Linked DNA regions of Xenopus tropicalis. The protein of the gene in region 1 binds, or shares a complex with, the protein of each later gene. Links are inferred from orthologs where the notes say so. Each region holds a gene or a part of one and is shown in the gene's direction. Other genes may lie near its edges.

The links.
Region 2: the proteins of nudt21 (region 1) and cpsf7 are in contact, whole or in part, in a crystal structure (PDB 3N9U), measured with the Homo sapiens proteins. The link is inferred for Xenopus tropicalis from reciprocal best matches to the Homo sapiens genes NUDT21 and CPSF7. Residues at the interface, in NP_008937.1 of Homo sapiens: Arg68, Asn152, Glu154, Pro156, Tyr158, Tyr160, Pro162, Ala163, His164, Ile165, Thr166, Lys167; in NP_001129512.1 of Homo sapiens: Trp91, Trp92, Thr93, Thr94, Asp95, Gln96, Glu112, Lys114, Phe115, Glu117, Asn118, Arg119, Ala120, Asn121, Gly122, Gln123, Ser124.
Region 3: the proteins of nudt21 (region 1) and cpsf6 are in contact, whole or in part, in a crystal structure (PDB 3P5T), measured with the Homo sapiens proteins. The link is inferred for Xenopus tropicalis from reciprocal best matches to the Homo sapiens genes NUDT21 and CPSF6. Residues at the interface, in NP_008937.1 of Homo sapiens: Pro151, Asn152, Glu154, Pro156, Tyr158, Tyr160, Pro162, Ala163, His164, Ile165, Thr166, Lys167; in NP_008938.2 of Homo sapiens: Trp90, Trp91, Thr92, Thr93, Asp94, Glu95, Lys113, Phe114, Glu116, Asn117, Arg118, Ala119, Asn120, Gly121, Gln122, Ser123.

The regions. Positions count from the first base shown.
Region 1 is NC_030680.2:51,656,656-51,667,081, reverse strand, and holds the end of nudt21 (cleavage and polyadenylation specificity factor subunit 5), read left to right. Parts: intron 1-935; coding exon 936-1,136; intron 1,137-1,579; coding exon 1,580-1,643; intron 1,644-2,831; coding exon 2,832-2,921; intron 2,922-4,592; coding exon 4,593-4,668; intron 4,669-6,254; coding exon 6,255-6,369; intron 6,370-7,781; coding exon 7,782-7,803; 3' UTR 7,804-8,045; downstream 8,046-10,426. UniProt on the Homo sapiens protein: Component of the cleavage factor Im (CFIm) complex that functions as an activator of the pre-mRNA 3'-end cleavage and polyadenylation processing required for the maturation of pre-mRNA into functional mRNAs.
Region 2 is NC_030680.2:22,864,507-22,875,539, forward strand, and holds the start of cpsf7 (cleavage and polyadenylation specificity factor subunit 7), read left to right. Parts: upstream 1-3,659; 5' UTR 3,660-3,813; coding exon 3,814-3,867; coding exon of another isoform or gene 3,868-3,900; intron 3,901-9,551; coding exon 9,552-9,770; intron 9,771-11,033. Other genes in the region: sdhaf2 (succinate dehydrogenase assembly factor 2, mitochondrial), read right to left, coding at 1,144-1,328, 3,255-3,290.
Region 3 is NC_030679.2:58,919,154-58,930,184, reverse strand, and holds the start of cpsf6 (cleavage and polyadenylation specificity factor subunit 6), read left to right. Parts: upstream 1-5,397; 5' UTR 5,398-5,515; coding exon 5,516-5,575; intron 5,576-8,144; coding exon 8,145-8,354; intron 8,355-8,852; coding exon 8,853-8,956; intron 8,957-10,503; coding exon 10,504-10,649; intron 10,650-11,031. UniProt on the Homo sapiens protein: Component of the cleavage factor Im (CFIm) complex that functions as an activator of the pre-mRNA 3'-end cleavage and polyadenylation processing required for the maturation of pre-mRNA into functional mRNAs.

The DNA.
Region 1 (10,426 bases):
CTTGACTAAAATGACACACAAGGATTTTGAATTATTTCTTAGGGTGACAGGCCCCTTTTATCGCTAGAGTTTGCTTGTAGTTTATGTTCAGTGGTCAGGGAGGGGTTGAAACTGTTTTTCAAAACTGTATTTGCTGTTATTTCATTTATTTGGTGCCCAGAATTATGAAACAAATTGGTAATAAAAACAGTGGGGTTTTTGTTTGTTTTTTTTTTTTGTTTAACTAAACTTTTCAAGTTCAAGATAAAATGTATTGTATTACAATGCAAAATCCAATGAGCTATACAGAATGTTTAATAAATCTTAGATAAGTCTTCTTAAGGAAGAACCCCCGGGCTATAAAAGCCCCCTTAACTAGCACTCACCTCTCCCTTATCGTATTGTTTCTAACTTTAACAACTGTCCCTATCGCTAACCCCAAATTAAAACAGCAGAGTAGCGCAGCTAAGTACCTGACCAACATCTTCTTTGTAACTGAACACACTTCGGGTCTCTCTGCCGATACAAACCCTGCTTGCGCATGCGCAGTTTAAGCAGATTTCAGTGTGTTCAGTTGCAAAGAAGATGTCGGCCAGGTATGCAGCTGTGCTACTTTGCTGTTTTAGGTTGGGGTTAGCAAATGGACAGTTGTTAAAGTTAGAAACAATGTGATAAGGGAGAGGTGAGGGGGGTCAAGGCAGTGCTAGTTAAGGGGGCTTTTATAGCCCAGGGGGTAGAGTTCTCCTTTAATGTCTGCAATATTTGATATTTCATTTGAACTACTTGAACCAATAGTTTTTACCTGTAGCAAATATCTCACTCATACTAATAGGCACAGACCCATTTCCCTTGTTTAGCTGGCTTCATGCAGTGGCAGCGTAGAATACCCAGCAGTTGTTTTCATTTATGGAGTGTATAAATAATTTGTCTTCCACTAAAAATATATTTTTTTGTAGGTATCCCCTTACAAATTACACTTTTGGCACCAAAGAGCCTTTGTATGAAAAGGACAGTTCAGTGGCTGCAAGGTTCCAGCGCATGCGCGAGGAGTTTGATAAGATCGGGATGCGACGCACTGTAGAAGGGGTTCTTATTGTACATGAACACAGATTGCCTCATGTGCTCTTACTGCAACTGGGCACCACCTTCTTCAAACTGTGAGTTCATGAACTTTCCAGTATATTCTTTTTTATTCTTAGTAGACCTGTAGTAGCTGAGAAGGTTTGACTACACATGTCATACAATGCTGCTATCTAGCCATTTGGGGAGTTGTATGAATGTGTATAGATATATATCTACACACACACACGCGCACAAAAAATAAAGATTTTTTTTAAATAATGGTTTTCTGTGTTATTTACTTAAATGGATTCTATAGGAGATAGACTTTCCATAATTCTGACCTTCTTGGATATATGGTTTTCATATAATAGATCCCATATCTGGGTCATTTTTTATGGAAAATGCATTTTCTGACACGCTGACAGTATTGTTGGTGGTTTAATAGGATTTGGACAGTGAACAACCACTTAAAGGAGTTTGAGAAAGATTTCTACTATGGTCACTGTGTTGAATATGTTTATACTTTTTTTCCATAAAGGCCTGGAGGAGAACTCAATCCAGGAGAGGATGAGGTGGAAGGTTTGAAACGTTTAATGACAGAAGTAAGTGAATATTTGATCTTTTACCTTTGTGCTGTAAACTTGGTGATCTTGGATGTAAATTGGAACATTCACCCCACTCCAAACCACATTAATGAAGCTTTTAGGTTCTGCTCCCATTCCCTGGACCAGTTGGTAAAATGCAGATCAGGGACACGGGTGGTGGCCTCCAGGAGGTCTGGGCACTGGACTTGTCAAAAATGGCAGCAGCCAATGTGCATTGCATACGCATTTTGATTTATGAAGGGGAAGGGAGTGATTACCATTGAAATTTTTTTTTGTAGAGGTAGATACTCGTTGCTGAATGTATATGTATGTATGTATATGTAATAAAAAGTAAAAATGTCGGCACTCACAGAGTTCTCACGATAATACTCTCAGGCAATAAGTCATAGTAAGATGCAGTAAGGTGAGGTTTATAGATCCAACGTTTCGGTTCCTTACTAGAACCCCGAAACGTTGGATCAGTAAACCTCACCTTACTGTATCTTACTATGACTTATTGCCTGTGAGTATTATCGTGAGAACCCTCTGAGTGCCGACATTTTTACTTTTTATTCCATGTCTGCTGCTCTGGCACCCAGGTATCGCATTTAAATTTTGGTGTGCTCTTCATCTGGTATTTTGTATATGTATATTTGTAATCAGTTGGGACAAGCAGAAAACTTTTTTTTGGACCCTCTGTTTGATTAATTTGCAGTAAAAGCTTTGGATCTGCTCTAGTGTGTTTACCACACAAGTAGATAAAAAGACAAACATCTGTTCATTTGGTAACCTTGCCAAAGTAGCATTTTCAATATGAGTGGCTGACTTGTCTCATACCCCCTTCTCTTTTAAATTGTAAACTGTATTGAGCAGGGCCCTCTTTGTATGTAATTTGTATCTTCTGTGCGTGCTGGCGCTTTATAAATATGTGAAATGAGGAAGACACCACTCTGTGGTGTGGAAACGTTGATATAATAAAGAAAATGTTTTTCGAATTTTGATACAAAAAAACCTGAGTGCATCAGAATATTTTTTGGACTGTGGTAAAGGAGGGGGAGTACTGAGATTCCTCATCTGATTTGCACCTGGTGAAAAGCTTTGGACAAGGAGTGCATGCCTGTTCTTCAAAAGTTTATGTGACATGAGGAGTTACAAGGAGTCTTTCACACGGGTCTAAATATTAAAAACATTATTTTTGTTTTCTAGATACTTGGCCGTCAAGATGGAGTTCAGCAGGACTGGGTTATTGATGACTGTATTGGAAATTGGTGGAGGCCCAACTTTGAACCTCCTCAGGTATACAGTTTATACCTAATGTTAAAGCAAACATCAACCTTGCTGCTAATTGAGTTTCTATTTATTTTATCTTCAGTGTACAATAATAGTTGAGGATATAGTTTCACTGCACACACACAGTGATTACTTTTTGGTATAATAGTATGTATTTATGCAAGAAAGCACCACTACTTTGCTTGCAGGATAGTGTCAAACTTAATATTGTTAGCATTATCTAGGTTACTAGTTTCACACCCTGGATCAGTGTATTACATATATTTCACCACTGTGCCATGAAGCATCTTTCTGTGTGATGATAAATTGTTCACTTATTTAAAGGACATGTAAAGCCTACATTTGCCTACAATATATATCAGTTGGGCACATCTCCCTCACCCAAATGGCATAATTTGTATTGCATATATCCCCTCCGCTTGCCAGCACCATCACATTTTCCTAAAAGCAAATAGCAGCTTTCACCCAGTGGCCATTTTTCCTCTGATATATAATCAGTTACATTTAGAAAAAAAAATTGAAGCAGGCAGCTAGAGCGGAGTTTCTATGGGAACCAGCAAGGCCCTCTCTTTACTGGCTGCTAGACTGGGGGGCGTGTTTAGTAATCTTGGCTTAGAACAACTGAGCATGCCCACAAGCCAACAGCCAAAGCAAATTCCTGGGGGGCCGAGTGGGTTACAGGAGGAAAAGGAAATCTAAGTGATTAAGGGGATGTTGCAGCCTTACTATTAACCTCTGGACAACCAGTGTGGCAGGTATTGAAAGATTTCAAAGAGGCTGTTCACTGATTAAGTTTTTATGTGTGGGGTTTACATGTCCTTTAAGCTTATTTTGTTTTGGTTTTGTTTTAAGCTTATTTGCCCATTTTCTCCGGTCCTAGCCATTTTCACAATTTCATATACTGGTATTCTGTTGGTGAGCATTGATCTAAAGAAATAAACTGGCTTTAGGGGCAGCTATGCCTTGAACTTTTCTAACAGAAATTATGCTTAGGTAAGAGGTTAGACCTATGCTGCCAGAAGCTTATGGTATCTTTTTGTAGAGACTATGAGAACACACATTCAGCTTGTATTATTATAAGTAGGCAAATTCTTAGGGAAAATGAATATACTGGATCAGAATAAATGTGTATTGCAAATAAATGATTTAGTACAAAAATTTTTTAAATTAAATTAACCTTAATTGTAACTACTGATTCACATTTTTTGTTAAAGGGCAAATCACATAAAGTAAATAAAACATATAACAGTGTTTATATTAAACCTTCTGAACATTTTTACTGTTCTTGCAGAAGATGGCATAAAATAAGCAATTAAGCACAGCTGTAACTGCATATATTTAGAAATAAAGGGGTTTTTACAAAAGCAGTAATTTACAATGTATAATGTGTTCTTTTTGTAAAACAAACATATTGGCCAGTTCTTATGTTTAGACTTCCAGACTTTTTACAAGAACTCCATACAGTTTATTGTATTGTTTGTTTGTGAAAAAGAGAAACATTTAGGTGGTATGTTGATGCTTCATGGGGAGCTGTCAAAAAAGCAGACGTGCAAATTGGCTGTTTTTATTATCTTTCCCCCCTCAGCCTCTCCCTAACATGTCTTTAACTACTGAAACAACCCAGTCATGGTATGTATGTATGTATGTATGTTGATAAATACCTATTTATCTTTGCAGTATCCATACATTCCTGCTCATATTACAAAACCTAAAGAACACAAGAAATTGTTCCTAGTTCAGTTGCAGGAGAAAGGTAAGATGCTGGCTTATCTGATTTTTCTTAAAGGGATACTAATACATAAAAACTGAAAACAGAACTTTCATCTGTTATGCTATGAAGAATGCAGGCTTACACAAGCAGAATTTTGGTAAAAAGTCCTTCTTGGATTGAGCAGTATACTAGTTAAATTAAGCTCAGGGTAGGGGATTAGGAAAAAAATTAGGAGCAGACAGCTAGAGCAGAGTTTTTATAGGAACCAGCAATGCCATCTCTTCACTGGCTGTTGGACAGAAGAGTGTGTTTAATCTGAGTTGAGTTGAGAAGAATTGAGCATGCTCATTACCCAACAGCCAGAGTCTGTTCCTTAAAAAGGGGACCCGAGTGGGTTAGAGGAGGAGAAGGAATCCTAAGTGATTAAGGGGATGCTGTAGCATTACAATTAAGCTTTTAACAACCAGGTATCTATAAAGATTTTAAAAAGGCTGTTCGCTGGTTAAATTTTTTTGCGGAGGTTTACATGTCCTTTAAGCACGTTTAGCAAGCTGATGATCTCGACCAGTATTCATGTACTATGGATATCGGCCAGTTTGTGGATCAACCTGTTTAAAAAAACCTGTATCATGGTGTTTAGTGAATTGGAAAATGAGGCTGTTAAGAGGAGCCATGGCTTGTTGTCTTCAGTACCTGCTGTTTCAATTGTTACTGCTACCTCTCTCTTCTTATGTTCAGTCAGGCTGATCAGTTGGATACTGTGCAAAGTTGTATGAGTTACTACTCACATGCAGATTTGCCCTGTGTTGGTTTAGGGTCCCAAATATTTAATTATCTATTTAGCTCTTGAACTGCATCCAACTTATGTGTTTTGACAACTAATTTATGTTCAAAAAAGATGAATGTTTTTATCTCATGGTTTAAAAATTGAATATGGGTTCAGATTTTATTGGTATCTGTCCGAATCTATACTGTAAAATTTTGTGTTTTGTATTTGTTGTACCCCTAGTTTATACTAGAGGACTGAAGGCTTAACAAGTCAAGGTGTGTTTAATGCACCAGACCTCAGGCATGCATTAAATTGCAAGTAGATAGCCATAATTATCTGATGATCTGAATGACTTGTTTGTGTCTTACATTTTTCTAAATTTAGGCCATGTCACACCAGGAGTTTTGCCCACCAGCATATATATATGTCGGGTGAGAAAACACAGATCTGTTTAACCCTGCCCTGACATCACTGTGCACTGACAGGCACAGAATTGGCCAGTTAGGGTACAGACAGGTCGGAACATGGAAAGTATGCATTTCTGCGCCAGAATTTAGCCTTTCAGTGCACTTATAGGTGCAGAAGGAAGGTCATCATTTTCTCCCCCAGCACAGATATGCCAGTAGAGAAAACACCTGGTGTGACATGGGCTTTACTCTTAAGGAGTTCCCAGCTAATAAGTAAACTTGATAAAATTGACTTTTGGCAGATTATATAATACAATTCTCCAATTAAACCATATTTAACAGGTCACCTGCTTTACAACAAATAGCTAATCGGTTGCTTTATTTTTCTAGACAATTACAATTTAAAAGGAAAATTATTTTAAATGATTTTTCTGGTTTCATTTATCCTTTAGCACTATTTGCTGTGCCCAAAAATTACAAACTTGTTGCAGCCCCTTTATTTGAATTGTACGACAATGCTCCTGGATATGGCCCCATCATTTCAAGTCTCCCACAGCTTCTTAGCAGGTAGGTTGCATTCTGAAATAATACATTTTGAAATATTATTGTCTTGTTTCAAAGTGAGAGTGACTGTGACAAGCCTACATTGTCAATAAGTGCAATATATTTTGTAGTTCTCTCTAAAAATACATTTTAAAAATAAAGTAAATATTTAAACTGTGCCATGACACTGATTACCGATGTATTCAATGGGCTTCAAAGTCACAGTCTGCCTGTCTCTGATAACTAATGGAAGGGAGTCTAGTTTTAATACATAACATGGTTAATTTTATTATTGCTTCTGAATTCGGTTCATACTTTTACATACAGCCATCTGTAAATGTTTTAAATATTTAGCATTTACTGCTGTACATCTTTTTTTCTTAAAGGCTTTGTATATCAGTTTAGTGCTGTGCATACTGTATATGCTATAAAAGAAATTAATATCTGAATATCTGCTTAAAGGGTTGGTTCACCTTTAAGTTTACCTTTAATATGTTATAGAATGGCCAGTTCTAAACAACTTTTCATTTGGTCTTCATTATTTTTTATTTATAGTTTTTATTTATAGTTTTTGAATTATTTGCCTTCTTGTTTTAAAAAAACGGTTTATTGTTATTGTTACTTTTATTACTTATCTTTCTATTCAGGCTCTTCTCCTATTTATATTCCAGTCTCTTATTTAAACCACTCCAAACTGCAAAACCAATGAACAGAAATGTAAATAAATAATAAAAAAGGATAGACCAATTATCTCAGAATATCACTCTTTCTACATCATACTAAGTTAACTCAAAGGTGAACAACTACTTTAAGGGCTCTGGCACACGGGGAGATTAGTCACCCGCAACAAATCTCCCTGTTCGCGGGCGACTAATCTCCCCGAAATGCCATCCCACCAGCAAAAATGTAAATCGCCGGTGGGATGGCATACGCGGCGGCGTGATTTCCGTGAAATCGCGGAAGTTGCCTTGAGAGGACCAGGAACATCAAAAGTGATTGTTTTGTTGCAATTAAAGTTTGTATCTGTTGATTAAGCACCAACACCTTCTTGAGTTTCTTTTCTTTAGTTCTTTAGGGAGATGTGAATGGCATTTGACATTAGCATTCAGCTTGAATGGCTGCTTGGCAGTGTATTTATGTTTTTACTATTACTGGGTCACAGCAAATTGTATTCAAATGTATATATACTTTTTTTTTTTTGTTACTGGTGTTTTAAAAGATAACCATCAATTGGGGTTTGTAAAATGTACACAAAACAGCAAATGTCTTTAACCTGTAATGGTGACTCCAAGTTACCTATATATGTGTAACTGAATATTTGCTCATTTTATGCTCTGCTAAACCATGGATTTACCATCATACATGTAGATCCTGTGTTCAGCTGCTGCTGAATTATAGATATTTGTAATGCGATAATACATTTTTTTTCTCTCTAGGTTTAATTTTATTTACAACTGAGCATTATCTAGAGGTCATCAAAGAAATTTGTGGATGAAGCGGTCTCTGTGAGCACAGCTTTATAGTTTGTAAAAATGAAACGTTTCAGCAGGTTTTTTTCTTTAAAATTCACTTGTTGCCGTCAGAAAAACAAGACTCTGCAGTGAAACACAGCAGCAAGACATTAGTGTTTTAATTTTTTTTTTTATTTTCATGATGTCACTCACTTTTCTTACATCATTAAAACTGGATTATTTCATCTATATCTGTCTCACTGGATATTATCTCACATTATGTCCCACTGCTTTGGATGGTTATAGTTTTGGAGTTCAGCACTTCAGTGTACTGAGTAAGCAAGCAAGAAATGTGATGATATAACTGCATAATGGATGAAACCAAGGTTTTTGTCTGGAGCTGCAGGATCTGATACCCCTTCATCATGCCCAATAAAAATAGGAAATAAATGTGTCCTTCTGTACTGAATGTCCTGGTCTGCCAAATACAAAATCAGTGTCATTTCACACTACCTCTGCTTAAGTAGTGGTATATGTGTCCTAGTATGAGATAACTGTGACTGGGTGTTTCATTTATTCTGAAGCAGTAGTAGAATTTTTTGTCTATCCAGCCAAAAATAAAAACTTTGGGGACATTAACAAAAAATAGGGACAATTTTGCACCACTACAATAACATTTTTGAAACCGATCAGATATTTAATCAGAATATATCAGACCATAATAGATCAGATATAATAAGTAACTAATTGCTGATTTGTTGCTAAAGGATTTTTTTCACTAATGATAGTGAATTTCCCCCATAGTGTGCTTGATGTTAACCAACTTGTACAGTCTCTTCCCTCCCCCCATGCCTTGCTCATGTCTGCCTGTTGCACCTGTCTGCTGTATTGTAGGTGCACCACTGATCCTGGGACTACAGTATGTGGCCCACAAATTAGGAACAAGTGTGGTATTGGTTGCATTACAGTGAAATTTGTGGGGTGGGTACCCCTGGCCAACCTAGCAAACAATTAAATGCTTATTTAAAATGTCCCAGGCAGTGTGCAATTTCCCCCCAAAAAAGGCCACAATCAGGGCATTGTGCAAATAGCACAATTTTGGAGTACAGAGACCTGTGAAATGTCCCTTCCATAGAGCACTGCCTGCATTAGGCAGCACTCAATTCATATGGCTGGGAAACACATAAGCATCTCCTTTACCCACCCAACTCATATGTCATTCAGAGAACAATTTTTTACAAAAAAAAAAAGCCTTTTGGGTCATGCAAATTTTATAATACACCACCCCCTTATTTGAATTGCTATGTATATTCAATCTAGTTCTTTTTATTAAGACAAAACAAAGTTGTCAAGGATATTAAATTATTTATACTTCCCCTTTAAAAAAAACACATGGCGGTTTTATGTAACTTAAAGAGATGGTTCACCTTGCAACTTTGCTATTGGTTCTCATTATATTTTATAGTTTTTTTAAATGATTCGCCTCCCTCTTCTGACTCTTAACTTTTAAATGGGAGTCACTGACCCTGGCAGCCAAAAACTGTTGCTCTGTGAGGCTACAATTTTATTTCTACTGTTACTTTTTATTACTTACCTATCTATGCAGGTCCTCTCCTATTTACCTTATTCCCATCTCCTATTCAAACTGTTGCCTTGTTGCTGGGATAAATAAGACTCTAGTAGCTGTTAAAATACCAAATTGGAGAGCTTCTAAACAAAAAGCTAAATAACTGAAAAAACATAAAATAAAGACCAATGGCAAATTGTCTTAGAATAGCAATGTCTACATCATTCTAAATGTACTGTATATACTCGAGTATAAGTAACCCTCGGCTTATACTCGTGTATATGTGTCCGTGCACCGTGCATACCTGCCGTCTGGCTCATTGAGCATGGTCAACGACCAACCCTGCCCCCATGGACGTGCGATCTGAGCACGCACATGCATGCACTTACTCTTGTCCCTCCTCAGGGGTAGGTGCATGCAACAAACGCGTTTGACGAGCCAGACGCCAGGTAGACACGGACACATATGGACATGTGGAGGGCAGGAGGGAAGTATGCACGCAAGTGGAGGGAGGCAGGGAGGGAGGAATGCACACAAGTTGAAGGAGGGAGGAAGGAATGCACGCAAGGGGAGGGAGGAATGCACGCAAGGGGAGGGAGGGAGGTATGAACGGGACACAGGTGGAGGGAGGGAGGTATGAACGGGACACAGGTGGAGGGAGGGAGGTATGAACAGACACAGGTGGAGGGAGGGAGGGTGGTTGTGCGCAACGAGCCAGATTAAGTAATTGGTACAATAACTTGTTATTTACAAAAATTTAATTTGTACTAAGTCCAGCATCAAGAATTATTTTTCCCTTGTAACTACTATTGTAGTACTGTGGTGGGACTTGTACACTGGGGTCTAAAAGTACTTGATAATTAGTATGGCAGCTTCCTTAGCCTTCCCAAATTTGCTTTTGTCTGCTGCTGTAGCATTTTTCTTTCCCTAAAGTTATCTATTTATTTATCTGTTTTTTATTTGATTATTGAAACTTAGCAGTAGCGGTTGCATTTCCCACCCTAGGCTTATACTCGAGTCAATAAGTTTTTCCAGTTTTCTTTGGTAAAATTAGGTACCTCGG
Region 2 (11,033 bases), about 29 Mb from region 1:
AAGTTTGTCAGATAATCAGTGCGTTATGAGCTTCTACTTATCTATAAGCCAAAAAAGAAAGAGTGAAGAAGGGGACTCTTTATACAGAGCACTCTCTCTATTTAAACTAAAGGTGGCCATACACAAGTCGATTTCGGTCCTATGGTCCTATAGACTGATTCGGCAGCTTATCTGCCCGTGTATGGGCACCACTGACGGGCCTCCCCGCCCTAGGGCCAAACGATCAATTAGTCTGATATCCACCACCCCTAGGTGGGCATATCGGGAGAAGATCCACTCGCTTGGCAACCTCACCAAACAAGCAGTTCTTATAGTGTATGGCCACCTTAACTCTGAGAAAGCTGATTACGGAGTATGTAGTGGCACACTTCAAAAAATCTGCAGCACAGTTCCACTTTCCAGGCTTCCATCTTTATTTCTAAAATATTGGATTAACTGTTGTACTATGACAGGAGCACTCTGCTAAAAATGACAATTATCACTTAAGAAGTTAAAAGCAAATAATCTGAGATGAGCAGCAATGTATTGATTGTCACTACAAGTGCCATTATCCAAAAGGCCCTGTGTGCCACAGCACTGAAATTGCCTGCTATGGAGGACTATGTAGTCATTCCAGTTCTGGTTATGTTGGCACAGAAGCCAAATATTTCATTTAAGTTTGGCCTGACCCTAGATAGAGATCCCTGTTAATGTTAGTCTCCCTGTCTATTCTAGCTGTCAGTACAGGAGATGAGGCACTAACAAGGTTTCCATTTCTATATTAGAAGCACAAAATAGACTCTATCTAAACAAAAAAAAAACACCCTCTTTAGCCAGCGATTCTATTAACAATACAACAAAGCTGCCTAGATTATAGTTATGTGTCCTAGCTGGTCACCCATGGTATGTGAATGATCAATCCTGGAACCAGCTGGTCATGTGTTTAGTTATTAAGTCACACTCATTGATGTCCAAATCGACTTGATCCTACCAATCACTGATAGTGTGTGAATAGGAAAAATAAGGTAATAGGTTTTATCATGCCGGATCATTGTATTAATCACTAAACACGTGTTTGGGGGCAGCAACAGGAAAGAAGAAAAGGAAGCATGTCTAAATATCCAAACCATGTGTAGGCTGATCATATTGAGATACATATGATACCTGAGCAGTATGCAGTTTTCTAGCATGCCCCTCTTCCGGCTCTCATACACCAGTCTTGCTCTCTTGATTTCTGGAGTCTCATTAAGACGTTCCTTCCAAGGAGGCAGCTGGATTTCTGACTCGTATGTCCCTGTGGCATCTGAAACTTGTCCCCGACGCACAGCAAAGGAACTCAAGAGGTACCTCTGTGGAAATCAGGGGAATTTATTAGCTCTGAGCACATGAAACAGTACAGAGCACAACCCCAACATGATACCATTTTTGCTTATCTGGCACCATAGAATTGTACCATAGCAGGTACAACTGCACTTGGCTGGAATATTTCTGATGTCTTTACTGGTCAACTGCCTAGGATACTTTGATGATTTCCTTGAGATTTTTCTTTCTTCATCTTCTGGCTTGTTACAAAGTGGATACTAAACAGCACACACTCAGTATCCCATCAGAATAAAGGAAAATAATATGAAAGGCTAACGGTGTATCTAAATATAAGTATGTGCTATTTTAGCTTCTAGGTTGCAATATCCCTTAGGAAAAGGCCTAGTTGTTTAAAAGCTTGAAATGTAATTCAACTTACATAATAAAGGTGTCACAAAAACAACATTTATCTTGTTTCTTAGATGGCTCTTATGGTGCAGTCTTCAGATAACTACAATAATTTTAAGGGAGTTGTACCTTTCAAAAAATTTACGCAGTATGTTTATACTGATGTTGAATATTGGATTAAGGTTAAAGCGGGATCAAAAATGCCAATGGATAACCTGTATATTCTCTTTGGTCTTGGTCTGATATCCAGCTGAAGTTATCTGAGGAGTTTTCTCTCCTCTAGTATGGCCTTTTGCACTCAATTATAATTATCAGAATCTAGTTTTAAAGGGGGTAAAGCTGTCACTACCATTTGACCCTTATAAATGAGTGATACCTAATGGCACAATATGGCTCCTAGATTTAACACCAGACCTAAGGGAAATGTATCCTCGCCCTGTTTGGTTTTTCCTTGACTTTTTTCTAATAGAATGAAGTGACAGAGAAAAGGAATCTGGCCAATAAGACAAGCAGGCTTAGGCTAGATGACTCTGTTTGAAAGTGTTGCAAATTGTATCCTATATATATATATATATATATATATATATATATATATATATATATATATATATATAGTATAGGTAAATCTAAAGCAACTGGACTTGATAAGTAATCATTGAACTTGAGTCATGCGAAGTTTGCAGCAGAAGGAAACTTTGTGAAGCAATGTGTAGGCCTTTCCACCGCAGATTCTCTTTGTTGGTGTAATTAGGGCTCTGGCACACGGGGAGATTAGTCGCCCGCGACAAATCTTCCTTGTCACGGGCGACTAATCTCCCCGAGTTGCCATGACCCGCCATCCCACCGGCGAACATGTAAGTCGCCGGCGGGATGGCACACGCGGCAGCGCGATTTCCCGAAATCGCCGAAAAAGACTGAAATCGCACTGCCGCGTGTGCCATCCCGCCCGCGACTTAATCTCCCCGTGTGCCAGAGCCCTAAAGGCATTTTGGATAGATTAGTCTCCTCTGTAATCAGAGATTTATCGCAGGCGTCTAATCTCTGAGTGGGACTTTAGCCTATGGGCAGTGGTACAGGGGAGATGTGTCGCTGCGATAAATCTTCCCTAGCGACTAACGACTAATCACCCCAAAATGCCATCCCACCCACACGTAGGATGGCATACGTGTAGGAAATCGAACCTACTCTATATCTGGTCCATGGGTGGTAAAGGAATTACCAGCATACAACTTCCTTCACCCTTTGTTGTGACTGTTGGGAGAAAACTTGGAATCCAATAACAACAGACATACGTTCCTGCACTTATGCTGACTAAGAGACTATAGTGCCCCTTTGGGGGATAAACACTTACTTGGCCCTTTTGCTGTGCTACTGAATGCACTATTGCTGAGCTGCTGATAATAACATGGGAGTTCCTATATGTATAACCTTGGTAAAAGCTAGAGGGATCACATGACAGATGGAACCAATAAATCTGACAACTGTGCTGGAGAGGATGCTGGGTGCCGTAGTTTACAGACACATGTGCAAGACAAGGGTAACCCTCTGCCCCCACAGCTTCTCACCGCAGGGGCTCTTCTCAGCATCCCCGCCGCGAACATCCCAATTCCGTACACTTCCGGTGCCCGACCTTCTCTACCGGAACCTGGTCCCTGACGCGAACATCTTGCGGGTCACGGTGTAAGTCACAATTCCGTACACTTCCGGTGCCCGACCTTCTCTACCGGAACCTGGTCCCTGACGCGAACATCTTGCGGGTCACGGTGTAAGTCACAATTCCGTACACTTCCGGTGCCCGACCTTCTCTACCGGAACCTGGTCCCTGACGCGAACATCTTGCGGGTCACGGTGTAAGTCACAATTCCGTACACTTCCGGTGCCCGACCTTCTCTACCGGAAGTGGGTCCCTGACGCGCATCTGAGGCGGCGGAAGTTCCGGTTTGCGCGGGAGTCTGGGAGCAGAGCATATTCCGGAGAGCGGAGGACTATCAGTGGGGGAAGAACAGTGTGGCTGAACGGAACCGGAGCAACCAAAACGGACGCGGAGACAAAGTTGGGGCAGTGGGGAGGGGGGGAAGTGCTATCCGAACTGAGCATCCTCGCTCGGGGGGATCCGGGCCGGGGATGGCGGACGGGGCCGATCTGATTGATATTTACGCCGAGGAGGAGTTCATCCAGGTGGGGGAGACCCGGAGCGGCCCAAAGAGAAATGTACATATATTTATCTCTGTCGTGTCCGTATGTACGCACGTTGGCTGCTGCTTTGGCTACAGGGCTGGACAGATCCCCGCAATCAGCCGTGGGCCCTTCCCCCCAGTGCAGGGTTCTATGTATTTCTATTCCCAGCCTGGTATATAGTGTGTTATGCACCTCAGTATATATATATATATAAAGCCCATTGTCCATCCCTCCCCCTCTGGCTGTGATATATTGATATGCAGTCCCCTGGCTCCTATATATTATGTCTCTCTGTTTATCTCTCTTATCATTAAAATCAATCTGTTTCTCCAACCTTGTCTTGCCTGGCTTTAAATAGCTTTGTTTGTTTAAAGGGGAACTCCACCACAAGTCTATTCAATAATGAAACAAACTGTGATGCTAAGCAGCTTTCCCATTTACATTAATCAACCCTGTTCTATGTTTTTTTTTAAAGTTATCTGCTAATATTATTATAATTGAAAACAAGAGTCTTGTCTTTTTAAATGCTCTGCATTGCTGTTTGGACTCTTTATAATAAATATAGCAGGAGCCAGCTGATTAACAGACCGGGTGGAGAACTTTTCAGAAACAGGGGCAGACTGCAAAAATCTATATACACAACTATAAAGCCAACATTTATAATGACTTTATACTGAAAAGTTTATTTTTTTTAAGAATTATCTTTCTCTTTGTAAAAAATGGTGGAGTTCCCCTTTAAAGGAACAGTAACACCAAAAAATGAAAGTGTATAAAAGTAACTAAAATATAATGTGCTGCTGCCCTGCACTGGTAAAAGTTGTGTGTTTACTTCAGAAAGTCTACTATAATTTATATCAATAAGCTGCTGTGTAACCATGGAGGCAGCCATTCAAAGGAGAAAAGGCACAGGCACATAGCAGATAACAGATAAAACACTATTGTATTCTACGGAGCTTATCTGTTATCTGCTATGTAACCTGTGCCTTTTCTCCTTTTTTCCAGCTTGAATGGTTGCCCCCATGGCTACACAGCAGCTTATTATATAAATTATAGTAGTGTTACTGCAGCAAACACCCCAGTTTTACCAGTGCAGGGCAACAGTGCATTATATTTTTATTACTTTAAAGCTCTTTCATTTTTTGGTGTTACTGTTCCTTTAATATGTATTTAGACCCATGCCGTGCATGTAACCCTTGATTTATTTTTGTCTGAAAACCCTTTATTACAGCTAAGTGTATGGTATTAATAGTAACATATCAAAGCTGTTCCCTTAATTTAGAGCTATTTATATAGTACTCCCCAATGGGATTATACATATTACTGTGCATTGTCATGGCTGACTCGCGCCTTTTGCGCAGCTCTGTGCCTCTGGGTGAGGGATGGATACAGCTGCAAAGTTCTTTTCAGGTCTAGTAACTCATGGTAGCCAATCAGCATGCAGCAACTACTGCTTCACCGCTTGAAAGTGAATCTATGGTTGCTATGGGTTACTAGACCTGAACAAACTTTGCACCTGCAGTTATCTGATGTTTGCCTGTTTGATCACTAGGGGCTTCTCTGGGATCAGTCAAAAATAATGCTTTGTTTTGTCTTGTAGTGATTTGTTTGGAAGGCTTTAACAGCTAACAAAAACAATTTTTTGTTGGATCTACTTTGAGGGGATTCCTGTATTTTAGCTAAATGCAGCCTTAAAGTTATCTATCAGATATGGAATGAGCAGTGGTTCAGCTTTGGGCTTAAGACATTAATATTTAGTACCATGTCCAGACCCTCTGTCCCATACAGAATAAATACTCCATTAAATGGGTAGTGTACCTTTAACATAACATTTTTTTTTTTTATAGAATATCCAATTCTTATCAAGTTTTCGAATGGCCTTCAGTTTTATAGTTTTTTTAATTATTTGTCATCATCTTCTGTCCCTTTCAGCCTTTGAATTGGGTGTCACTGACCCCAGTAGCCAAAAAATATATATTTCAGATCATTGTTCAAACCACTGCCTGGTTGTTAAGGTAACTAGATAGCTGCTGAAATTCAAAACTGTAGAGCCAACCAACAAAAAGTTTAATTAAACAATCACTAAAAATAAGATATGAAGACTAATTGCTAATTTTCTTAGAATATCACCATCTACACTATGCTGAAAGTTAATTTTAAAAGTGTACTACCCCTATCATCTTGCAGTGTCTTATGAAAGCCACTTTGATTACTAAGGAAAATTAAACCTTAGCTACAAGATAGGTGCTGAAATTCCTAACTGAAGAGCTTCTGAATGAAAAGCTAAGAAATTAATAAAAAATATATAGTATCATATAATTGGTATTTTAACTTCATTTATAGATGAACAAGCCCATTCAAATTTCATGTATCTCTATGTAATTGTAACATGAGCCCCGTATTGGTGGATTGCAGTAAAGTCTCCAAAAAAAGCATGATGGGAACCCAATTAAAGTACAATAATTACTCCAGTGCTGTGGATCTATCTACATTACTGTATATTTTGGAAGCATTTCTCTTTGCAGCCAATATGGGAAACTGATACGCGCACATTCTGTAGTGATAATCCCTAGAGCATGTCAGTGCAGCATGGACTTGTTTTATTGCCAGAGAATAATATACTCAATACAATTAGCAGGAAATGATTTTTAGATTAAAATAAAGATGACCCTTCATGCACCGAAAAGTGCTGGAATTATTATTGCTCCTTTACATAGTCAGGGAAAAGGTTATGCACACATCCCTTGTAACAAAATATATAGGATTGTATATTGTCAGTCAGCACAGGAATAATGCAAACTGTATATGACCAGTAGAGGGCAATGTTAAAAACATCAATGAATGTGCCTGCCGAGGCAAGACATATGGCAGCTCCTATTTATGGTTCTGTGCAACAGGGATCTATTATACTGCTTAAACATACAGGCAGATTAACTGAAGCCTGATGAAGCTGACCCTAGTGAATATGACTTATGTGATTGTGATATGGCCTTAACTTGCTATGGGACAGAGGCTTATATGAATTATGCCCAGTTTCTCTACCGCTATGGATAACATACTAATGCTGTATAAACAGTGGATAATATAGGGAGTAATTCTCACTGTTGCTGAGGAGTCCCTTGATCATATAAAAGCGTGAAATGAAGGCTGAGTGGCTTTATTCAGACCACGGTTTCTAAGGATATCATTTACAGAATATTTATGGGTTTTGGGTGCTATAATCTGATATATACCAAGTACAATATGTAAATAGGGTGTGTAGACCTGTTGTGCATAAAATCCATATAAAACTAACAACAGTCTTTGTCCTGAATAGAGAGGGTCAATGCAGGTAGGTTGGATCTCCATTCCTGTAGTTATGGGATATTCGGCATTGCAATTTAGCAACAGTTAGAGGGCTGCAGATTTGGTATTGTGAAATTATACCACAATATATATCTCTTTATCTATCTTATCTAGCCCAGGTGCTGGTTAATTATAGTCTCAGCTGCCCCCCAGTTTCTTTTGGTTTATTTTGGGGTTGGTTTGGTGTTACTTGGGGGGATCTGCAATAAGCAGAGTGTTTTCAGGCATCTGTAAGTACAGGTTGGTACTGCTACTACATATCTTGCAGTTACTTATAGCAGCATTAAAATAGGGTTTGTTTGTATTGTACAACCCTGTGGAGTAGAAATTATAGTGCAGGCCTGTCTTCATAGGGCAGAATGGATTAGTTGTTGCTATTGACACTGCAAATTGACACCTATGTTAGCATGGTAGCCACCCAGGCATCGCAGAGGTAAGAATATTCTGGCAAATTTAGCTTGTGTATATAATATATCTGTATATGATGGAGCCATAAGTTGACATACCTGAATACATTGGTCGTTGTGTTTCATCGTTAGCAGAAATGTGGTTGTGGAAGGAAATATACTTTTTGCTGCTCCTGTAGAACAGGTAGGTCTGAGAAAAAAGCTCTAGTAAAATGTCTTGACTGTGCCAGAAATAAGGCACAAGCCTTCTCTGTTGATGTCCAGCTTCCACATGTGTCTCAGCTGGGCATTGCTATTGGGTTTGTATTTGGGTTACAGCTCCAACCCTGCATCTTGGGCTTAGTCCTGCACCATCCACTTGTTCATGATATCCTTATGGGGGAGGGCTATAAGTCCTGCTAATCAAAAAGGTATGTCCAGGGAGCATGTAAAGTGCCCCGTGGCAGCCCTAGGAGCAGGACTGGGTTGGTGGGGCCCACCGGGTGTTTTTCTGGTGTCTGGCTGTCTCAGTCCAACACTGAATAGATTTTCCCTGTAGAGATGCCTATATTAGAATGTTCTGTCTGGGTAAATGCACTTACATGAGAGTGATTCATCTTTTTTGTTTAAATGGATCCTGAGTAAATGTGTTGTATCACTCCCTATGTGCATGCACTGGGCCCCAGTATTATTATTATTGTTATTATTATTAGTTTGCTGTGTGTCTGCAGTAAATGAGTGGTTAGATAATGGGAGCTATTGTAACTCTAGAACTAACTAGCTTTTCCTAGCACCTAATCTGTATAACCCTCTGGCATGTTGGGAAGTCAGTTCCTGTAAGTGAGTGATTAGCTGTGTATTTGTAGGATAATAGGGAATATAGGGATTGCTTAAGGTGCCCATACACTCACAATATTCTCGTACAAACGAGGTTTCATACGCTATTCGGTGCATGTATGGTGGGCTGACTAGGCGACCGGTATCGCAAAAGCTTTGGATAATGGTCGTCTTGTCCATCGGTCAGGTCTGAAAATTTTTATGTTGCCCAAACATCACCTATACGTTAATGGTGAATCATCAGATATGCAGGTAGAAACAACAGGAATTCTACCCCTATCTGACCATTCAGCTCTTAATGTTAGTGGAGTGGACAAACAATTTTTTCTGCAAGAAAGATTGTTATTATAACTTGTACTTGTCCACCTTTACTCTCTTGCTGTTGCAGTTTTGGCTTGAAAAAGAAAAATAGTCTATTTTTATACGTAGGTTTTATATTCCTAAATGTGCAAAGCTCCAGTCAGACATGGATGTACCATAGAGCTTGCATATAACATGCACATGCATTCCCCTATAAGATAGATATACCGGTATATGTCTTTGATAAAGACCAACACTCTCATATTTAAATTAACAAAAGTTTCTTTATTTTACCACTTGTGTGCAGTGGTTCAGTCGTCATTAGGACCATTAATCTAGGATCCTTGTGGTATGTGAAATAAAGAAACTTATCTTTTAAATATGGTATAAGAGAGCTGTCTGATTGCATTTCTGGTTGACTGTACACCTTGAGGAATTGTTTGGAAACTAGTGCATACATGTGTGAATATATATATATATATATATATATATATATATATATATATATATATATATAATATAAAAAATCTTTCATTGAACTGGTCCTTATGCTGCAACTACAACACAATAACTAGATTCCATGAAGCATGCTGCCCTTTTCATTCTGCTTAACACCTGTTCCTTCTTTTCCCCTTTCAGCTTAAAATAAATAATACATTTGTTTTTATATATAAAATGCCATCAGCGCATTCTCTGAACTGTGTAATATATCCTGCAATCCCCTTATTAGTAGTAGCCAAAGGTGTGTTGCTATGGCTGTTCTGCTTTAATTTGCCTGTATAATTTCATTTTTAAGCTTGTGCTACACCTTTCTTATAGGAGTCGGAGTTTGCTGCTGAGCAGGTAGACCTGTATGATGATGTGTTGGCTGTGCCAGCGATTTCCTCCTCGCATGTTGAGAGCAACAGGAACAGCAGTGCCCTGGAACCAACATCTCCAGTACAGAGCACTTCTCCTATGTCAAACAACAAGACTCCTGAAGTCCTGTACCACAGTGGGCGCAACAGGGTGTCCATGTACATCGGAAACTTCTCGTGGGTAAGTGATGGGTCAGGGAGACTAACTGACACTCGGATAGAAGGCCCAACCACTAGCACAGTATTATATTCAGTCCCCAGTAGTTGCAGGGCTTCTGCTCTTATAATCTGTCACTTTATAATCAAGGAGTAAAGCATAATGGGGCACTATAGCCAAGAGACTAAAGTGCTATTAGAAAAATAGAACTGTTTATGGACTCTGATTCTTGTACTAAACCTTAAAGGTCATGGAAAGTATGCATGGAGGCAATGTTTACCATAAACCCATAAATGATATTCATTTTTGGTTGTATTAATATTTACTAAAATTAGAATTAAATACAGTTTGATATAATGAGATTGGTATAATCACAAAACAGGGTCACATCTAGAAAAACCAGAAAGCAGGGTTGAAATTATTGCAATTCAGTTAAATGCAATTGGTGCAGCTCTTCTATGTGCATTTATTGGATGTTTCCCTGAATTTTCAGTTCAGATGGTAGCCTTAATCCCATTAAAACACCAGTTTTTTTTTTTTGTTTGTTTTTACTGTAAAACTTTAACGCCTGTCTGTTTGCCAGTTCTAGCTGGAAAACATAATTGGCTTGTTAAGGTGGCCATACACAGTCCAATAAGGCCACCTAGGGTGGTAGATATCAGGCTAATTCGATCATTTGGAGAATCAAAACGGCAGGTATATGGGCTGTTGGACCGAGGACCGCATCAACGAGGCCCATCGAGGGTCACCATACTTGGGCAAATAAGCTGCCGAAACGGTCTGAAGGACCTGAATCGGCAACTGAAATCTGCCTGTGTATGGCCACCTTTACATAGTTACATAGGAGATCAGGTTAAAGAAAATAAAATGCATCCAAGTGAAGCTTGTCTAGCATTTAGTTTTTCCAGAGTAGAGGGAATCCAGATGGGAAAATGGAACAGCTCTTACATCATCTGGAAGGACCTACTGGTGAATAAGGCATCAGAGAGTGCATTATATGGTCCAATTACATATTTATGCATTTTCTAGATATTTTCCATATTTTCTAGATATATTCTGTACTCAATAGTTCCACCATCCCTTTTTTAAGTGATGGAGCTCAAAACTGCACTGCTTGTTCTAGATGAGGATGTTAAAAATGCCTTGTAAAGGGGAAACATTTCCTTTCCTCCTGTAAAACTATAACCCTTTCAATACAAGACAGTACCTTGCTGGCTGTTTCTGACTGGCATTGCTTGTTACAACTAGGTGTATTATCCACAAGTATCTTTATACATTTCTGTTTCA
Region 3 (11,031 bases), on another chromosome or scaffold:
AGATGGTTGTAAATTTGTTTCACGTAGAGCCCCCACTTTGGGCAATTATTTCTCTCCAACAGTTCTGAAATCAGTGAAAGCTAAAGCAACATGGCTTGATATTAAGGGGACATATCATTGTGGTGTGCGAAGATGTATTACATGCACATATGTCAAGCATTTCATTACTTTTGAAAGCACTGTGACCAAGTGTTCTTTTGATATGCGCTTTTATGCTAATTGCAACACACACCATGTGGTTTATTTGTTGACTTGTATGAATTGTTCCCTTCAGTATGTGGGCTGTACTATCCGTCCACTTAAACATAGGATGCGGGAACATATTGCACATATTGTTGCAAAAAAAAGTAACAGTCCAGTTTCTAGGCACTTTATCAACTGTTGCAATGTTGCTTTGCTGCAGATTCAGGTAATTGACAGGGTGTTTCCAGATGAACGAGGTGGACAAAACTTTTGCAGAGGGAAGTAAAATGGATATTTACATACGCCAACCACATATGTTCTATATTTAATATTAATTGTTATGTTCCCTCAAAGTGATGTTGCCAGAGAATTGTATATGTCATGTTAGTCTATCTTTCTTTATTTCGTTCTGTTTCATTTTTATACACATAAAGAGAAGAAGGAAAAAAAAAATGTGATGTCATTAATTGATAGGCTTTATATAGCATGTTACTGTCTCAGAATGCATGCCTATGATTAAGTGCGGGTACATACGAAACGCTTCAGGCGTTCTGGGTTTTTAAGAATGTAAATAAAGTTCGAGTTTTATCCATTTTCTGGCTGACCATGGTGCTTTGCGAGCTGCTTTCTTCAGAGATTTGAGTTTGCTCCCTTGGGCTACGGGTTCGGGGCTCCAAGCACCCGAACCAAATTGTGGCATCAGTGAGTGTGTGTATATTTATGTGATCTTCACTGCATGTATACTAGCATTTGAAATATTTGGTGAGGGACCTGGGGTATATACACCCAGCTCAACACCTGTTTTAGGTAAAGATTTTTGTCTTTAACTTTGATCTCTTTTATAAATTGTCTAATTAAACTGTGTTAGCACACTATATATATAAATTTTACTAAATTGGGTGTATTCCTTGAGGATTCTTGATAAAGAAGGCGAGATGGTTTAAGGAAAGGTGGTCCTGCAAATTCTATGTTTTTAAAGGCCAACTATCGATAAAAAAATTGTTTCCTTCACCCTTACCAAACAATGCCCACCCCAAACGCTAGTAAGGGAGCTCCTGGTATGAACATCCATGTTGTGGCACTGAAAATTGTGCCACAGCATGTGCATAACAATTCTTTTGGTTTTTTTTAATAAAGCACAAATGATGGACACAGAGCAGTAGTTTCAGAACAGTTTATGTCTGACCCCTAGTGCACAACAATGTAAATACACGCAGTAAAAAATGAATCCAACAGTAATACCAAAATAATGCCATATAAAAACATGTATAAGCTATTATTATTATTATATGAAAAACACACATATTACAGATAATTATACAGTGCTCTCCACACCACATAGAACTAAAAGCTAATTTATACTATCTGGTGAATGGCTTTATTTAGAGGGTAGGGTTGAGCTGGTTTAGAGGATTACAGTTGATCCTACTGTACATGAAACAGAAGAAGCTTCATTACAAAAGGGTCAGTTTCCCTTCACTCAGATGCTCACAGATCAAGCACTGGGTTGACAGGGGTCTAGAGCAGTGCTGTCCAACTTCTGTGGTACTGAGGGCCGGAATTTTTCTGGACTACGTGGTGGAGGGCCATAATGGAAGCCAGTTGACCACTCCCCTTTTTTAACCACACCCACTTGAAGCAACACCCATGTTATTGCATTACCATACCCATATTAATGATGGCAGTACAGCAAAAACCTGCCATACTCTGCCTGCCCTACCCTGCCTATGTGTGCCATACTCTGCCTGCCCTACCCTCCCTGTGTGTGCCATACTCTGCCTGCCCTAACCTACCTGTGTGTGCCATACTCTGTGTGCCATACTCTGCCTGCCCTATGGTGCCTGTGTGTCATATTGTGCCTGCCCTATGCTGCCTGTGTGTGCCATACTCTGCCTGTCCTATGCTGCCTGTGTGTGCCATACTCTGTCTGCCCTACCCTGCCTGTCCTATGCTGCCTGTGTGTATGTCACACACAGAGAGCATAAGGCAGGCAGAATATGGCACACACAGGCAGCATACAGTGACACTGCTCCTACAGTCTGCATAATAACTATATATTAAAAAACTTTTCCCATCTGACATTGCAGTACCATCTTAGTATATGTTCTTTTTATAGTGTGCAGGGTTTATTTGTGGGTTTTTACTGCTGTCTGAGGTGTGAAGAGGTGAACAATGTGGGTGATTACAGTCTGAGCCTGAGGTGTGAACAATGCAAAGGGTGAACAATGCAGGGATTAAAAGGTGTGAACAACACAGGGGATTACATTTTTAAACAATACAGAATCTGAGGTGAGAACCATGCAGGGGGCCAGTACTGATACTGATACCATTTAAAGCTTACACAAAGGTATGCTATCAGCCAGACAGGTGGGGGGGCCACACGGGCCACCAGTTGGACAGCACTGAGAGTATAACATATATGGTTATGTGTCCTTATATTCTATTTTTCTTTTTCATATTTTAAAAAAGGTAGGCGGACAAAGAGGGTCAAGGGTTATGCTGATAACATAATTTTAGAGGCCTTGCTATACTCTTGATTCTTTCTTATATATGATGACATTTATTTGCCTAACCTGCACTCGCCAACCTGCATTAGACTCCTCCTTGTTCTTAACCAACCTAAAACATTTTTTCAGGGAAACCAAACCAAAAAGCACCGCAGGCAGCACAACCAGAGCAAATAATACAACTTGTAACATAAGAACCAACCCTGCATATCAAAAATTAAGGAGCCAAGAATGTAAACGCCTCCCACAGTGATAAGGAACTAGCCCATCAAACCACTATTGCACCTATACTTTAAATATATAAATATATTTTTTATATGGAACATTAGACTGATGATATAATCCCATTATTTCATGACACAGTGACCCCATCATATCATAACACAGTAGCCCCAACAACCCATGACAGAGTGGCCCCTGTTTCATGATATAGTGGCCCTAGCAATATAATACATGGTGAACCTAGAATTTTATGACACCATAGCCCAGCAATACACGTGACAATGGCCTAGCATATATAGGACACTGTGGTTCTAACATCTCTAGTTGTGGCCCCAGCAATTAATAAAACTTTTATTCCAGAAACTTAAGACCAAAGTAGTCCAAACATTTCATGACACAAAGTGCCCAATATTTTATGACATTGTGTGGACTAATGACACAGAATGGTACAACATTTCATGAAACAGCGTGACTGCAGCCATTTAAGGCACAGTGACCCTAGCATATATATCGCAGTGACCCCAAGCATTTTCATGTAGCCCCAGAAATTTACAACACACTGTGGGGCCGATTCATTAAAACACGAGTTCAAATCCCGAATGGGAAAAATTCGGATTGGATACGATAATTTCTGAAGATCGAGAATTTTCCGCCGCCATTGTCGACTTTTTCGTATTGAACGATTGTAAACGGCGGGAAAACCTTTCCGACTTTAATCCTTCTGTGCATGATTTTGGAAGCCTCCCATAGGACTCAATGGCACTCTGCAGCTCCAACATGGCCCAAGGAAAGTCACGATACCGAAGCTTGAATGAATCCGAAACTTTCGTACTCGACGTGACCATACGAATTTGTTGCAAAAAAAATTGTTGCAAAAATAACGATCATTACGAAAAAACACATTCGGACACATCTGATTGGCTGTTGGTGGCTCCTTTCACTTTTTCTAATCTTGAATATTAATCCCACGGTTTTTAACTGTACAAGGGGACACTTGTACGGATAGTATAAGAATAGCAGCATTTTAAATTTAAACAAAGAAGATTCCCATAATGCCTCGCTCCTGCACCAAGACCAAGACCGGTGTACATATGCAGTGTGTAAGACTATGAGGAAGCTTTCTGCTGATTGGCTCAGATCACACATTCCTAAGGGGGGGAGGGAGTTCTTAGCATTCTTGAGGGAGGGGGGAGCAGGAGAGGGGAGAGAGGAGAGAGCTGCGTGTCTGTGGCACAGGAAATCAAAGAGACAAGAAATCCTGTATCTTTTTATAGAGGACTCAGTGCAGCGTTTCCGTGAGTGCTTATGGCTGTATTTACATAGACCTACCTGATAAAGCTTACTTAGTTTTTACCTTTTCTTCTCTTTTAATTTATTATTACAGAAACAAACAAATAAATGAATTAGTATTTTATTATTAGGATTGAATTTACTCATTGGGCAGAATATAGTTAGGGTTGCCTTCCATGTGGTTTTGAACAGTTTTTGAGAGGGCTGTCTAGTTCAAAAGGTCTTTCTAGAAATCCAATTGCATCTAAGTGATGCCATAACCTTGCTTTGGTGTCATAATCCCACTGACATAATTTTGCCCACTTCTGATGTCATCATGCCCATGTCCAACATCACTGCCCCACCCCCTTTGTTGCAGTTTAGCCTCTGACAAAGGTGGCAACCTTAGTAGGCATTGTCTGTATAGACACCATTTGCTGTATCTGTCCATTTGTTTTAAAGTTGGCAATGAAATGGATGAGCCCCCACCCCCCTGACCTCCAGCAATGGAAACAACTTGTTAACACTAGACTCCCACTTATTAAACTAACATACCTTGCCAGGGGTTGCCCTAGCAAATTCTAGAGAATATGGCGTCTATACAGACAATGCCTACTAAGGTTGCCACCTTTGTCAGAGGCTAAACCTCAACAAAGGGGGCGGGGCAGTGATGTTTGACATGGGCATGATGACATCAGAAGTGGGCACAATTATGTCAGTGGGATTATGACACCAAAGCAAGGTTATGGCATCACTTAGATGCAACTGGATTTCTAGAGAGACCTTTTGAACTAGACAATCCTCTCAAAAACTGTAAGAAGCTCAACCAGAAGCGAGTCCCACAGTATAACCCTGAGACTTTTACACCAAAGGTCTCCCCCAAATCACAGGCCTTATCCAAACTACTTAGGCCACACCGACTGTATCTAGCTGACCCTGCTACTGTATACTTTCTCCATGGTCATAGCACTAATTATTGTATATGCTATTGTGCTGGTTTTATGTTTCTGTTTGTAAAGAAAATAATAAAAACCTTTAAAAAATGTTTTTCATATATCTTCATAACACGGTGTTCTGACGAGAATATGAATTTGACTTGGGGCAAGTTTCTATTCACCTTCAGCCATATCTTTCTAATGCTGCTGCTCATTGTTCGCGTTCCAACGAGTTTGTACAATACAAATTATACTATGTGAAAAAAAACGCGCGCAACTAGCTGGTTCAGTATCCAGTAGAGGAAGTGACGCGCCCGTTCCCGCCTTCCCCCTCCCGACCCACTCCTCCCAGCTCGCACCGCCTCCGTGACTGCCTAGCGCTGCCGCTCCAGGCGGAAGATGGCGGACGGAGTGGATCATATCGATATCTACGCAGATGTGGGCGAGGAATTTAATCAGGTATCGCGAGTGGGAAATATGGGTGCAGCAAGTGGTTGTCATGCTGGTGCGAGTCGTCTGTGTGTGCTTGGGCCGCCTCCCGACTTCTCGCAGATAAAAGAAGCGCCTGTTTGTTTTGTTATTATTTGTAGGCCTATGTATGCTATCAAGTCTTTAAAGCATTTCTTTTACCCTGGAGATTCGCAAAATTTGTACAGAGGCGGGCAAGCCGAACCCGGCCACACAGCCTTCTGCACTTTCTTTGTGTAGGCCGCGTGTGCCGGGGCCTTGAGTTCCACGGAACTTCAGTCTAGTGCCATTGCCCAGAGCCCTGCTGGATTAGTTATGTGTGGGTTACGGGGGCTCTAGACTAAAACAGTAGTTGTTGGGATTTTCTTTTTCTTAGAGACTGTGGGAAGACGAGCTTTTACGGACTACAACAATTGTTCACCCCTTCAAATACCACTCTATTTTAAAAAATTGTTCTAAGCTACTAGGGTTGTTTGGAAAGACTAATGAAAAACCTTCACAACTGTTATCATAATTGCTTCCCCCCCCCCCCCCAAATAAATCTACTTATCCATTGGTCGAAATAGAGAATATAATAGGCTGTAACATACATGGGGCCCTGGAGCATCTCGCCGGCAGCTGCTAGGTACCACTGTCTTTATTTTGGGGGGTACAAGAAAATAGGTACCATACATAATGTAATAAAATGCATCTGCTGTCATTTTCCAAACTATTCTTTATAGAAAAATGTACACTTTTCTAATATCATAAAACGGTGTACTTTTCCTATCTGTCTTGAATTGAGAGAGACAGCACAGCAATCATTTACTTGTAAATGTAGAACTATACAGTTGCAGTTTCACATAATGGATAAAAAATTAAATGCCAATGGTTGAAGGGAAAAAAAACTGAAAATGTGGTTTGTTCAACCTTTAATAACAGGTTTATACTGGTATCTTTAATATCCTTCAGCTATAAATACACCATCTCTAGATTAGCAAATGAATGCAGGATGTCAATATCTGGTATAGGCAGTAGTGGCCCCATTGCTGATATACGTCAGACTTTCTCCATATTTAAATTAGAAGTGAATTTCAGCTAATTGACTATTTAAAGCACAAAAAAGTATTGGCAAATCCATTACTATTTATATTAGATCTAATGCTTTTATTTTTCATGGAAATTTACCCTAGTTATGTTCTATATTATTCATTAAAACACATTTTCTGTACCACAGGGATAAAATCAACATTTGTTTCTTTTTTAGAGCAGCAAGGTATTGAAAGATTCTTGTTATACAGGGGGGGGGGGCTGGTGGAGGAAATAATCAAATATCAATTTCTTAAATTAAAATGTGTTCCCCTTTTTTTTGGTTGAGGACTGAAACAATATTCAGATGCTTGTAAAATAAGCTGTCAGAAATAATGTAGCTGTTGTTTTCTTATCTTTGTAGACTTCCAAACCTCCTTGGATTTTTGCAATGTTGGGGTGTTAGTGCAGAGGCATATACAGAACTGTGTTACACATGGAACTGCCTCTTGTGACTGTCAAAGCATCAGAAAATATTTTAAATGCTGTAGAACAGGGGTCCCCAACCTTTTTTACCCGTGAGCCACATTCAAATGTAAAATGTCAGGGAGCAACACAAGCATAAAAAGGTTTCTGGGGGTGCCAAATATGGGCAGTAAATGGCTAATCTGGTAGCCTCTAAAGCTGGCCATACATGCACCGATAATATCGTACGAAACCTCGTTTTGTACGATATTCGGTGCGTGTATGGTAAGTCAGCGAGTCGACCGATATCGCAGGAGGCTGCTGATATTGGTCGACGCGCCGATCGGCCAGGTTAAAAGATTTTGATCGAGCGCCATAGAAGGCGCCTGAGCAAAATCTGCCTTCAGGGCTGAATCGGCAGCCTTATTTGCTGTTTCAGCCCTGAACGGTTAATGGCTGATTGAACAGCATTACATTATATAGTAATTACTTTTATACACTTTCATTTTTTGGTGTTACTGTCCCTTTAAAGTTCCGATGATAAGGCACCCAATCAAAATTTTCAGTCCTGCGCGATTGACAAGGCAACCAATATCTTAAGGCATTTACTGATATTGGTTGCTGTGTCTCCCACCATGCATGTGCCGATTATTATACAACAAAGTTTCCTTTACACTTTAGTTGTTGAGGGGGGATTTTATGTTTTTGTCCCCATTGCTATAGTCACAAATATCCAAAGGTGCAAATTATGGAGATCACTCGCATTGCCAATGTCCTTTTTTTCAGGCAAAAAACCAAATGTTCCATTAAGAATTGTTGTGTTTATCTGAACAACACAGCAAAACATCTTTGCTTGTAAGTGCATTCCTAGTCCATACATATTTATCTAAAACCAGTAATTGATTTGCCTTTGAAAGAATCATTAGGTGAACAATGTATTCTTTAAAAATTGACATGTATAATAAAGTGGAGAATGCATCAATATGTTAAAATTTGTAAATTAATAATAATAATTAAGGCCCTGATCCAGGCAACAGGCAGCTGCTTGAAGAGGTATGAACATTCATATTTTTTGTTTGTATTAAAGGAAGCAGAATATGGTGCACATGAGCAAATTGAACTCTATGAGGATGTCATCTCACCATCTGCAAACAATGGAGATGCTCCTGAGGACCGCGACTATATGGATAATCTAGCAACTTCTGTTGGAGATGATGTAGTGAAAGGATCTGTTCCTAATATTGTGTATACCTATACTGGTAAACGAATAGCACTCTACATTGGAAATCTAACATGGGTAAGTAAAGGCATAACAATAACATTTTTCTGCTCCTATTGTGTAGTTTATGTTGATTTCATGCTGCACAAGGTGTTTTGACCACTGCACAAGAAAACAACCACCACTAAAAATATGCTGTCTGCATTTATTTTATTCCTGTGAAAGGCATATATCTGCCTTTATCTACACTTCAACAGTGTGTCCTATATCTTTGTTGAATCTGATTGACAGTTTCATATAAACTACATTAATATATGAACTCAAGTGTTTGGGGCAAAATCTGCCTGCACACTTTAAAAAATTCCGTATTCTTTATAGAACATCATTATTTCTTATCTTGGAAAATGTGAGAAAAGTACAATTGTTAAATTTTATCTTGTGTGGTTTTTGACATTTCTGCATATACAGTAGCTGCATTTTTATGCATGATTTATTTCTATTCTATAAATGATTTTGCATAGAATGGTTTATTTCTGTAGGTGTAATGTGTCTCATCATTTTCCTTTCTTTGTGCAGTGGACAACTGATGAAGACTTGACAGATGCTGTTCATTCTTTGGGTGTTAATGATATTTTGGAAATAAAATTTTTTGAAAATCGGGCCAATGGCCAGTCAAAGGGGTAAGATTGGATGCTTTTCTGGATTTTCTGCTAATTGTTTTACTTAGGTTTAATGGTTTGGATGTTAAGTTTGACAAAGGTTCTGCCTTTAAGTAACAGCAGCCATATTACATTGTTAATAGCAGTGTCTTGAGTCAGGATAAGGTTTCAAGAAGGTTTATAGGGGGTGAGTAATACCAGAAGGGTTTTTTTTGGACACATTTTAATATACTTGTAAATAAATGCAAAGATCTAAATGTTCTTTTACCTGCGCTGGTAATTGCATTTAATGATAAGTTCTTAGACCGTCAAGGCAGGTTGTTTTATTCTCTGGCAGGCAGAGAGCATGGCACAGACAGGCAGCACAGGGCAGGCAGAGTATGGCACACAGTGAGTATAGGGCAGGCAGGGTAGGACAGGCAAAGTATGGCACACACAGGCAGTACTCTGCTTGCTCTATGTTCCCTGTATATGTGCTATAATTTGCCTGCCCTATGTTGCTTGTGTGTGCAATACACTGCCTGTGGGAGGTGAACCTGGCAGTGGTTTGTTCTGAGAGTTTGTAAGCATTTGGAAATAATCATTATATGGTCCCTAAGGTGTGTAATTATATGCTGGGGCATGTGGATATAAGAGCGTGTCTTAATTAGACATAATATAATTCTTTCAGATGAAGGGAAATATCCCTACAGTGAGCACCAACAAGTCTGGGTTTTTGCTGTGCTACCACCATTAATGTGGGTATGGTCTTAAAAGCTCTTGTGATTACATGGGTGTGGTGTAAAGTGGGTGCAGTTTAAAAAAAGGGTAGTGGTCAAAACTGGCTTCCATTATCAGCCCTCCACCATGTAGGCCAGAAAATTTTTGGTCCTCGGTACCACAGAAGTTGGACAGCACTGATATAGATACATGAAATCAATTTGCCGTGATGTTTCACTGTAGCTTTAATCCTTTGTTGGTGTGCAATATAATTGCTTGGGTATACAAATGTAATATCTCAGTTGCTTGGTATTTCACGTGCTAGATGTTTTACCCTGTTTTGCAAGCACATCTTCTGTGTTTTAAAACAGCAGGGTACATTGGTTGGAGATCATTTCCCTAAATTATCTTAACCCCTCTGCTGCTTTTGTTTACTTTGGCTTTCTCTTGTGGAATGTTAGTACAGGTATGAGACACAATATCCAGAATGCTTGGGACCTGGGGTTTTCCAAATAAGGGGTCTTTCCGTAGTTCGGTTCTCCTACCTAAAGTCCGCTAAAAACAATATTTAAACAGTAATTAAACCCAATAGCATTGTTTTGCCCCTAATAAGGATTCATTATATCTTAGTTGGAATCAAGTACAAGGTACTGTTTTATTATTACAGAGAAAGGAAATCATTTTTAAAAATGTGAACTATTTGATTAAAATGGGGTCTATGGGAGATGGGCTTTCAGTAATTCGGAACTTTCTGGATAATGGGTTTCCGGATAAGGGGTCCGATACCTGTAGTATGAAATTAAAGAACATGAATAAATTGGATATCTGTATATAAATATATTAAAAATACATCCTTTTTTGTTTTAAAGGTTTGCACTTATATGCGTTAGTTCTGAATCCTCATCAAAGAAGCTTATGGATCTTTTGCCAAAAAGAGAGATGCATGGCCAGAAGCCGATTGTTACACCTTGCAACAAGCAGTTCCTTAGTCAATTTGAAATGCAGTCAAGGAAAAGTAAGTATTATGTTAGTTTTTAAATGTATGATTATTTTTATATAGTGTGGCATATTCACAGCACTTTAAAGAAATTATACATCATTTACAGTCTGGAACTTTCCAGTCTTAAGTCTACATCATATTCATACGCACAGACCTGCCTATATGTTTTAGACCTGTGGGAGGAGACCTCCGTACCTGTAGGAAATCCACTCCAACACTGCATTATAGAAATATGATTTATGTTTTGCAGCGTAACATGAGAATTAAGTGTAGTATAATACTTAAGGTACAAACCCACAGGTGCCTGCTTTTTGATATGTGGTAGATTCTTAAGCTGGCCACACACGTGGCGATTTTCGATCTTTCGTGTGACCATCGTCCTCACGAAAGATCGTTC